Linked DNA regions of Macaca mulatta. The protein of the gene in region 1 purifies or fractionates together with the protein of each later gene. This does not show direct contact. Links are inferred from orthologs where the notes say so. Each region holds a gene or a part of one and is shown on either strand. Other genes may lie near its edges.

Region 1 (5,425 bases):
GAGAATGGCGTGAACCCGGGAGGCGGAGCTTGCAGTGAGCCAAGATCAAGCCACTGCACTCCAGCCTGGGAGACACAGCGAGACTCCGTCTCAAAAAAAAAAAAAAAGAAAAAAAAAGAAAAATAAGCTTATTGTATAAGCATTTTCTTTTAACTTAAGACTTACAAATTGAAGTAGCTTCAGGATTTTTCCATGAATATAGCCGTCTGAATGAAGTTTCCTGCCTTTAATGAACTATTTATAATTTCTTTTTTTTTTTTTTTTTTTTTTTTTTTGAGACGGAGTCTCACTCTGTTGCCCAGGCTGGAGTGCAGTGGCCGGATCTCAGCTCACCACAAGCTCTGCCTCCCGGGTTCCCGCCATTCTCCTGCCTCAGCCTCCCGAGTAGCTGGGACTACAGGCGCCGCCACCTCGCCCGGCTAGTTTTTTGTATTTTTTTTAGTAGAGACGGGGTTTCACCGTGTTCGCCAGGATGGTCTCGATCTCCTGACCTCGTGATCCGCCCGTCTCGGCCTCCCAAAGTGCTGGGATTACAGGCTTGAGCCACCGCGCCCGGCCGAACTATTTATAATTTCTTTAAAGGTTTCTTTAAACTGGAGCAATAAATCCCGTGGGTTTGTAATCAACTTTTCTTTTACAACATACTAAAGACATTTTTCATATCATTTTATGCAAATGTACCTCATTTTTCTTTTTTGAGAGAGACAAAAAAGAAACAACAACCCCCTGTTGCCCAGAGGGTAGTGCAATGGCAAGATCATAGCTCAATGCAACCTTGAACTCCTGGGCTCAAGTGATCCTCCCACCTCGGCTTCCCTAGTAGCTAGGATTACAGGCACATACCACTACCCCTGGCTAATTAAAAAAAAAAAATTTTTTTTTTTTTTGGGTGGAGATGGGGTCTTGCTATGTTGCCTGGGCTGTATTCACTTTTTATGTATTTATGTATTTATTTATTTATTTATTTATTTATTTATTTATTTATTTTGAGACAGAGTTTCGCTCTTGTTGCCCAGGCTGGAGTACAATGGCATGATCTCAGCTCACCGCAACGTCTGCCTCCCAGGTTCAAGCAATTCTCCTGCCTCAGCCTCCTGAGTAGCTGGGATTACAGGCATGCACCACCACGCCTGGCTAATTTGGTATTTTTAGTAGAGATGGGATTTCTCCATATTGGTCAGGCTGGTCTTGAACTCCCGACCTCAGGTGATCTGCCCACCTCGGCCTCCCAAAGTGCTGGGATTATAGGTGTGAGCCACCGCTCCTGGCCCTATACTCACTTTTTATAAAACTGGCCTCATATTATTCCATTGTATAGTGGATACACTCTAATTTCTTTACAAATTCTTTACACTATTTTTTTGATGTTTTGTTGAAAAAACTTGAGCAGAGAACTGAGATTATGAAGGTGGACTGAGGGATGAATCTGGCAATAGAGCATAAAATGGATTAAAGAGGAGAGAATGGAAAAGGAAATGATTGATGAGAGACCCTTGAAATAATCCAGCTGAGATTAGGCCAGTTAGTGGCCATGGGTTTTCCCCTCACTCTTATGCATCCAACATATGCTTTCGTCCGTCTTGAAGTCCCGACATTTCTAGAAAACACAGTTGTCTTTCTCCTCTCTACCTTAGCTCATCTCAGTCCTTCTGAATTTCATCTTTGCTTGTTGAAATCCTACCTCTCCTTCAATATCCAGAACAAACCCCACACCCTGCCATGATTGGTACTGGCTGGAAATTGTCCCTCCTCCCTTTCTTCCTTCCTTTGTGCATGTTTCTTCCAAAGGCAGTACAGGGCAGTGGTGAAGAGCAACGACTTTGGACCCACCAATTTGCTATCTCTGTGCCCTTGGGCACCTTACTCAATGCCAGTTCTCAGTGCCTCAGTGTCCTCACCTGTCAGAGGGGGAGGAGTGCATACAGCGTTGTTATGAGGAGCAAATCAGTTAAAGTTTGTAAGAATAGTGCCTGATAGTATCTGATCAGCGCTGAATAAATGTTAGCAATTGTTTTGATTCACCGCAGAGGGCGGTCTACAACAGCGCGGAGCCCCACTCGGCCAGCGGGGCCTGGCGGGGGACCTGTCGCGCTGAAAGCTCCAGGGTAGGGCCAACGCCCATCAGGCTGCGCATCCGTTCGGGATGCGCAGGTTGCAGTCTGCAGCCGGCGGCGTCACGCCCAGGCGGGCGGAGCGCGGCTCCGGGAGGCGCGAGCCCGCGGTCATGTGACACAGTGAAGATGGCGTCGCCCAGCTGCCTGTGGCTCTTGGCTGTCGCCCTCCTGCCATGGACCTGCGCTGCCCGGGCGTTGCATCATCTGGACCCGCCGGCGCCGCTGCCGTTGGTGATCTGGCATGGGATGGGTGAGTGAGTGAGAAGCTGAAAAGGGTTTGGCGATTCTCTCTCCTCCTAGCCTCGGTTCGCATCTGCAAAATGCGGGTGTAGAGGGCGAGGACCTGGCCCCACAGCTCGCGGCTGCCTCGACATTTTAGGATTTGAAGGATTTGAAGGATCTGCATTGGAAAGAGAGAAGGGGAAGGAGCCGTCCTTTGATGAGCTCAAGGAGAGCCGCGCACGGCGTTGAGGTTTTACATGCTGTCCTTGATTAATCCTTACAGTAGTGGCGTCAGGATGCGGCATCTCGCACTTGATCAGGCTAGGTGAGCTGCGGCTGGCTACATGACTGGCGCATCTACCCTTTTATTTATTCCTTCACACATTGAACAGAGCTTTGTTAGGCACCTACAGTTCATTTACAAGTTGAGTAACCCTTATCTGAAATGCTTGGGACTGAGAAGTATTTCGGATTTTAAAAAAAATGTTTGCATATATACAACAAGATATCTTGGGGGTTGGACCCAAGGAAATTCATTTATTTTTCGTATACACCTTATACACATACCTGGAAGTTAATGTTTTTTTTTTTTTTTTTTTTTCCTGAGACAGAGTCTCGCTCTGTCGCCCAGGCTGGAGTGCAGTGGCCGGATCTCAGCTCACTGCAAGCTCCGCCTCCCGGGTTTATGCCATTCTCCTGCCTCAGCCTCCCGAGTAGCTGGGACTACAGGCGCCCGCCACCTCGCCCGGCTAGTTTTTTGTATTTTTTTTTTAGTAGAGATGGGGTTTCACTGTGTTAGGCAGGATGGTCTCGATCTCCTGACCTTGTGATCCCCCCGTCTCGGCCTCCCAAAGTGCTGGGATTACAGGCTTGAGCCACCGCGCCCGGCCTGCTGGAAGTGAATTTTATGCAATATTTTAAATAATGTTGGCTGGGCGCGGTGGCTCAAGCCTGTAATCCCAGCACTTTGGGAGGCCGAGACGGGTGGATCACGAGGTCAGGAGATCGAGACCATCCTGGCTAACACGGTGAAACCCCGTCTCTACTAAGAAATACAAAAAACTAGCCGGGCGAGGGGGCGGGCGCCTGTAGTCCCAGCTACTCGGGAGGCTGAGGCCGGAGAATGGCGTGAACCCGGGAGGCGGAGCTTGCAGTGAGCTGAGATCCGGCCACTGCACTCCAGCCTGGGCTACAGAGCGAGACTCCGTCTCAAAAAAAAAAAAAAAATAAAAAATAAATAAATAAATAAATAAATAATTTTGTGCAACCTGTCACATGAGGTCAGGCGTGGAAATTTCCAATTGTGGCATTATGTCTGCTCTGAAAAACTTTCAGATTTTGGATTTCGCATTTTCAGATTAGGATGCTCAACCTATATTAATTTAACACAGTTATTGAGCACCTACTAGGTGCTGAGGATACAGTAGGGAACTAAACAGGCTAAAGTCTTTGTTCTTTTGGAACCTACTCTCCAGTAGGAGGAGCAGATTATAAAGAAATTAATAAGTAAAACATAACATATCAAATGGTGATAAGTGCAATGGAGAAAAGTATAGTAGGGTGTAGGATAAAGATGAGGTGGGCGCTTGCACTTTTAATAAAGCAAAGTTGGGAAAGAATTCATTAAAAAAGTGACATCTGAATGCAAAACAGGTGGATGAGGACAGTTGCCATTTGGCTATCTGGTAGAAGGAACAGTAAATGGGAAAGCCCTGATGCAGAAGTATGTCTGGTATATTCAACAGACAGCATTCAGGTCAGTGTGGCTGGAAATGAGTGAGCAAGGGGAAGAAGTTAGGAGTTTAGTTTGGAAGGGAGGGGCAGTTACAGAAGTTATTGGGCCTAGTAAGACTAATGCAGGGACTTTGGCTAGAGTGTCATGGGGAACTTTGTGACCACATGAGTGACATGATCTGACACATTTTTTTTTTTTCTTTTTTTTTTTTTTGAGACGGAGTCTCGCTCTGTCGCCCAGGCTGGAGTGCAGTGGCCAGATCTCCGCTCACTGCAAGCTCCGCCTCCCGGGTTTGCGCAATTCTCCTGCCTCAGCCTCCTGAGCAGCTGGGACTACAGGCGCCCGCCACCTCGCCCGGCTTTTTTTTTTGTATTTTTAGTAGAGACGGGGTTTCACCATGTTAGCCAGGATGGTCTCGATCTCCTAACCTCGTGATCCACCCGTCTCGGCCTCCCAAAGTGCTGGGATTACAGGCTTGAGCCACCGCGCCCAGCCGATCTGACACATTTTTAAAGAATCACTTTAGTTGCTGTATTGAGAATAGATTGTAGGGGTTCATGGATAGTCACAGGGAGACAGGTTAGAAACTATTGCAATAATTTAAACAAGAGATGATGATGGCTTGAAACTGTAGAGTAACAATAGAGGTGTTGAGAAGTGGTCAAAGTTTGGATAGATTTTGAAGGTGGATCGCTAACAGATCAGACTTGGAATAAGAGAGAAAGAAAGGAGCCAAGGATGACTCCACAAGTTTTGGCCTGGACAATTGGAAGGGTGAAGTTTTCATTTTACCAAGATGGGGAAGCCTGTAGGACAAGCTGACTTAGGGTGGGGGAAAGATCAAGAGTCTGCTTTTGGGCTTACTAAACTCGAAATCCTCATGAGACATCCAGGAAGTGTTGTAGAGGCATGGAGCGTGGAGTCTAGGACAGAGATACCGGCTGGAGATTTAAGTAGGGAGTCTTCGGCATACAGCTAGTAGTTAAAGGCCTGGTGAGATCACCTAGGAAATGAGTGTACACAGAGGACTGAGCCCTGAGGTACTCCATTCCCTTTGGAGGTGGAGGAAATGAGGAGAAACTAGCAAAGGAGACTATATCCGAACAACCAGTGAAGTGGAGGGGTCAGGAAAGCTCAGTGTCCTTGACGCCAAGTGAAGAAAGTGTTTCAGGAGGAAGGGCATGATCAACTGCATCAAATGTTGATAGGTCCTGAGTAACTGTATCAAATGTTAATGGGTCAAGGAAGATAAAGGCTGACAACTGATTATTGGATTTAGCAATATAAAGATGACTAATCTTGACAAAAGCAGTTTTGGGAGAGTGGTGACAGTGAGAGCTTCATTGGGATGGGT
Region 2 (4,937 bases), on another chromosome or scaffold:
CCCTGCCCGTGTTCCTGGTTATCCTCTTCTGCTGTTCTGGAAAGGTAGGAAGTTTGGTTTTTTTAGAATCACTTTTAGAGACATCACTCTGGTGATTATTAAAAATAACTAAGAAATGTTGCCTAAGGTTTTCTTTGTAGTGGCTCAGTAATGACTGAGCCGTGTTTGGTGATGACTTCAGAAACCTTACTTACTGTTCCTCAGTGGCCATTTATTCTGCCCAGATGGGAACAGGATTTATAGCCCCTTGGTTGCTTTTATTATTTATCCTAATCTATTACTCTCCATAATGTTCGGCAGCAGCTTTCTAAAAAAAAACAATAAAGTTCGATATAAAACTAGTTACTTGGCCAATAATCAGCTTTTCCTGCTGGCATACCTATTTCTATTATTTGAAATTCAGTCTTTGATTCCTCATTATCCATTTTGCCTTCACCTTCCCCACTCTGAAAACAGTATGTTGGGGTACCACAGCCTTATTGTTAGTTTTTCTTGTCTAGCCTTTTTTGCATGTGCTATCATAAAAAAAGGAAGTCTTATTTTGGCCCTCTACTTCTACTAAATGAGGATTATGCTTCATCTGGCATTCATAGCACTTTGTAACTGGATCCCAAGTTCCTTTTCCAGCCTTATCCTCTGACACTATTCTTTGTATCTGTGCCGCAGTCACCTTTTTTGACCCGTATTTTCCTGTCTGGCCCTTTTGTTTTTATTCTACCTTGAAACACGCATGTGCACACATGCTCTTCAGGGTAGGAATTACATCTTATTCGTTTTTATATATCTATCCCTGTATACAGCCTGGAACAGAACTTTGCCTGTAGGCATTCAGGAATTATATAACATAATACCTGAACATGTAAACAAAATTGCACTTTGGGGAACATTTCAGAAACAGACCAGTGCTATGGAGTATAAGAAAACTGATGCACCTCAGCCGGATGTGAAGGAAGAGGAAGAAGAGAAGGAAGAGGAAAAGGACAAGGGAGATGAGGAGGAGGAAGGAGAAGAGAAACTTGGTAAGAAATAGAGTCCAGAAAATCTGCTTTAAGCCAAGACCCTACGATGTCGTTAAACCTTTACAGTCAAGTTAAAGATTGTTTTTAGCCAGGCATGGTGGCTCAAGCCTGTAATCCTAGCACTTTGGGAGGTTGCAGCAGGAAAATCGCTTGAGCCCAGGAGTTTAAGGCTGTAGTCAGCCAGGATAGTGCCACTGTACTCCAGCTGAGCAACAGAGTGAGGTCCTCTCTCTCTCTTTTTTATGTTTATTTTGTATGTATGTATGTATGTATTTATTTATTTTCAGATGAAGTCTCGCTCTGTTGCCCAGGCTGGAGTGCAGTGGTGCGATCTCGGCTCACTGCACGCTCCGCCTCCTGGGTTGACACCATTCTCCTGCCTCAGCCTCCCGAGTAGCTGGGACTATAGGCGCCCGCCACTATGCCTGGCTAACTTTTTTGTATTTTTAGTAAAGACAGGGTTTCGCCGCATTATCCAGGATGGTCTCGATCTCCTGACCTCATGATCCACCCACCTCGGCCTCCCAAAGTGCCAGGATTACAGACGTGAGCCACTGCGCCCAGCCTCTGTTTTTATTTTTTAAGACATGGTCCCACTCTGTCACTCAGGTTGGAATGCAATGGCACAATCACAGTTCACCACAGCCTCGAACTTATAGGCTCAAGTGATCCTCCTACCTCAGCCTCCCCCGTCCCCAAGTAGCTGGGACCACATGCCCAGCTGATTTATTATTTATTTATTTATTTGATGTGATCTGGCCCTGTTGCCTAGGCTGGAGTGCAGTGGTGTGATCTTGGTTCACTGCAGCCTTTGCCTCCCGGATTCAAGCGATTCTCCCACCTGGGCCTCCCAAAGTGTTGGGATTACAGGCGTGAGCCACCACACCCAGCGAGATCCTGTCTCTTAAAAAAAAAATTATTGACCAGGCACGGTGGTTCACACCTGTAATTCCAGCACTTTGGGAGGCTGAGGCGAGTGGATCATGAGGTCAGGAGATCGAAACCATCCTGGCTAACACGGTAAAACCCCGTCTCTTCTAAAAATACAAAAATTTAGCCGGGCGTGGTGGCGGGTGCCTGTAGCCCCAGCTCCTTGGGAGGCTGAGGCAGGAGAACCGCTTGAACCTGGAGGCAGAGGTTGCAGTGAGCTGAGATCGCGCCACTGCACTCCAGCCTGGGTTGACAGAGCGAAACTCCGTCTCAAGAAAAAAAAAAGTGTTGTAGATCTAGAGATTTGTTCTAATGCTAATGTGTAATCACCAAAAATAGTCAGGTTTTGCTCAGTTGTTTAACTTTTGTCTCAGAAGAGAAACAGAAAAGTGATGCTGAAGAAGATGGTGGCACTGTCAGTCAAGAGGAGGAAGACAGAAAACCTAAAGCAGAGGTAAAGGAAAGGGGTCACACATTCTGTTTTTCCAAGTTTAAGGTACATTTATTTAAAGGGAATATTTTAATAGGGTAGTTTACAGTGGCTTATGGCAGTAAAAATTCTGTTAAAACCAATTTTGTTGAAGTGGAATTCTTTGTGATACCGGTCAGTGTTTTGTTTGATAATCTGAAGCTACATCTGCCTCTCCAAAGTATTTTTTTAGCTGAAAATGATTTTCTGGAATAAGCAGAAGGTTGTAGGGGGATAATAAAATGCTTGCTAAGAAGGAAACTTCGGGTCATTAACAGTCTATTTGCCTCTCCTCACAGTGCCCTGAAAAGTATTTCTTATACAAATCACTGTGTTCTAAACTTTTTGTCCCCGTTATCCATAGATTGGTTCCATTCATTCATTTACCTGATGTGTGTTGAGTGCCCATTTTGTTGCAGGCATTGTCAGTGAATAAGACAGACAAAGATACCCTGCCTTTAGGGAGCTGATATTCTACTTGGGGGAAACAGGCAGTGAGCAGTAAACATTGTAAGGAAGTAAACAACACAGCATATTAGGAAGTGAGAAACTATGAAAAATTAAAACAGGAAAAAGTATTAAAAGTGCTAGAGGTAGGGCGGGTCACCATGTTAAAAACCTTACTCGAAAGATGACACTGGACCAAAGACTTGAAAGAGATAGAGAACTTTTCCATGGGGATGTAAGTGGGAAGAGCATTCCAGGCAGAGAGAACAGCCAGTATTGAGAGCCTAAAGTGGTCTACAAAGCCAGTATGGTGAGTGGACAGACAGAGTGGAGAAGAGAAGGGTGGAGAAGGCTCCGGGTTAGACAGGCTGTTGTGTGGACTTGGCTTTCCCTCCTAGTGAAGCAGGCAACCATCACAGGCTACTGGACACAGTTGTCACAGGATGATGACTATCTGCTGTGTTTCCTATATACCAGTGAGAATCAGGGAGACCAGTTAGGAGGTTCCTGTAATCATCTAGGAAAGATATGGTGGCCCCAAAAAGGGTGACAGGAGAGGAACAGAGGGTATGAGAACTAGTTGGGGTTCTGGATCTTGGTTTTGTGGTGGATTGGATAGATATATAGAGTATGAGAGAAAGGGAACAGTCATTGTACCATTGCCCACTAAAGTCCTTCCCCCAGCACCTCTGTGTCTCAGTCTGGTCTCTCCTGGAAAGCTCTTCTCAGGTTTTACTTCCAGCTACAACTCTGCCTTCCTATTAATAAAGGTCATTGCTATCTGTATCTTTTGTATATTTTCAATGGATATGTTCTGTCTTAACTAGAATGCAGTTCTTTTTTTTTTTTTTTTGAGACGGAGTCTCGCTCTGTCACCCAGGTTGGAGTGCAGTGGCCGGATCTCAGCTCACTGCAAGCTCCGCTTCCCGGGTTTACGCCATTCTCCTGCCTCAGCCTCCCCAGTAGCTGGGACTACAGGCGCCCACCACCTCGCCCGGCTAGTTTTTTGTATTTTTTAGTAGAGACGGGGTTTCACCGTGTTAACCAGGATGGTCTCGATCTCCCGACCTCGTGATCCGCCCGTCTCGGCCTCCCAAAGTGCTGGGATTACAGGCTTGAGCCACCGCGCCCAGCCCTAGAATGCAGTTCTTAAAAGTAGAGACCATGTTTCCCCCAAACTCCCTCACATGTTAAAAAGTTGCTGGCGCATTTTAAAAAAAAAAGGAATATTTTCATAGGGTAATTTACAATCTTAGCAACTTGTGATAGAGTACAAAGAGCAGCAGCCTTGGAGTCAGTCTACTTGGATAGTCTTCCATCTTCATGAATCCTTGGTTTCTTACCCTCAGACTGGGGCGAGTGTGCCATAGGCCAGTAGATTGTTTGGGATTAAGCAAGATTAAGAAATCACTTAAGCAAGATAAAGAAACCACAGTGTCTGATCCCTTTTTAAGAATATGTTTATGGGTTAGATTGAGAAAAGTGTATGCTTATAGAAAACAATGAAGACTAAACTGAAGTAGGAATAATTCCACCACCTCTGAGACAACCATTCTTCTTGGTGCATTTTCTTCTAATCATTTTTCTCATTTTTTCCTCAAATAAGTTACCCTCAGCCTGGCTGATCTTGAAAATATGGTGAACTTTTATTATGTTTTAAATGTGCTAATTATAGTGAATTTCTTTTCTTTTCAATCAATAGGAGGATGAAATTTTGAACAGATCACCAAGAAACAGAAAGCCACGAAGAGAGTGAAACAATCTTAAGAGCTTGATCTGTGATTTCCTCTCCCTACCCCCTGCAAGAGTGGTCCTAGGAGAGGACCTGGCACACCTTAGATTGAAATTCAGAAAACTTCAAGACATCACCATCAGCAGGCTCCAGTTGAACACTAGTCTGTGTAACTTTAAACATCTAGCAGTAAATACTTGCAGTTGTGATATAAAGGACCCTGTTTCTGTAGAAAAGAAAACATTTAACATAATGGTTGTGAAATATAACATGAGGCAAACTAACTTCTTTTTTTTTTTTTTTTTTAACATCTTTGTTTTTTAAAATAGAATGATAGAAC

Evidence for each region.
Region 2: the proteins of PPT1 (region 1) and CANX purify together in Homo sapiens (affinity purification with mass spectrometry; 3 studies listed by BioGRID and IntAct, with this or other methods). This does not show direct contact. The link is inferred for Macaca mulatta from reciprocal best matches to the Homo sapiens genes PPT1 and CANX.

What each region holds. Positions count from the first base shown.
Region 1 is NC_133406.1:200,689,965-200,695,389, forward strand, and holds the start of PPT1 (palmitoyl-protein thioesterase 1 precursor), read left to right. Parts: upstream 1-2,234; 5' UTR 2,235-2,240; coding exon 2,241-2,364; intron 2,365-5,425. UniProt on the Homo sapiens protein: Has thioesterase activity against fatty acid thioesters with 14 -18 carbons, including palmitoyl-CoA, S-palmitoyl-N-acetylcysteamine, and palmitoylated proteins. In contrast to PPT2, PPT1 can hydrolyze palmitoylated proteins and palmitoylcysteine.
Region 2 is NC_133411.1:188,714,980-188,719,916, forward strand, and holds part of CANX (calnexin), read left to right. Parts: coding exon 1-44; intron 45-892; coding exon 893-1,019; intron 1,020-2,323; coding exon 2,324-2,403; intron 2,404-4,567; coding exon 4,568-4,621; 3' UTR 4,622-4,937. UniProt on the Homo sapiens protein: Calcium-binding protein that interacts with newly synthesized monoglucosylated glycoproteins in the endoplasmic reticulum. It may act in assisting protein assembly and/or in the retention within the ER of unassembled protein subunits.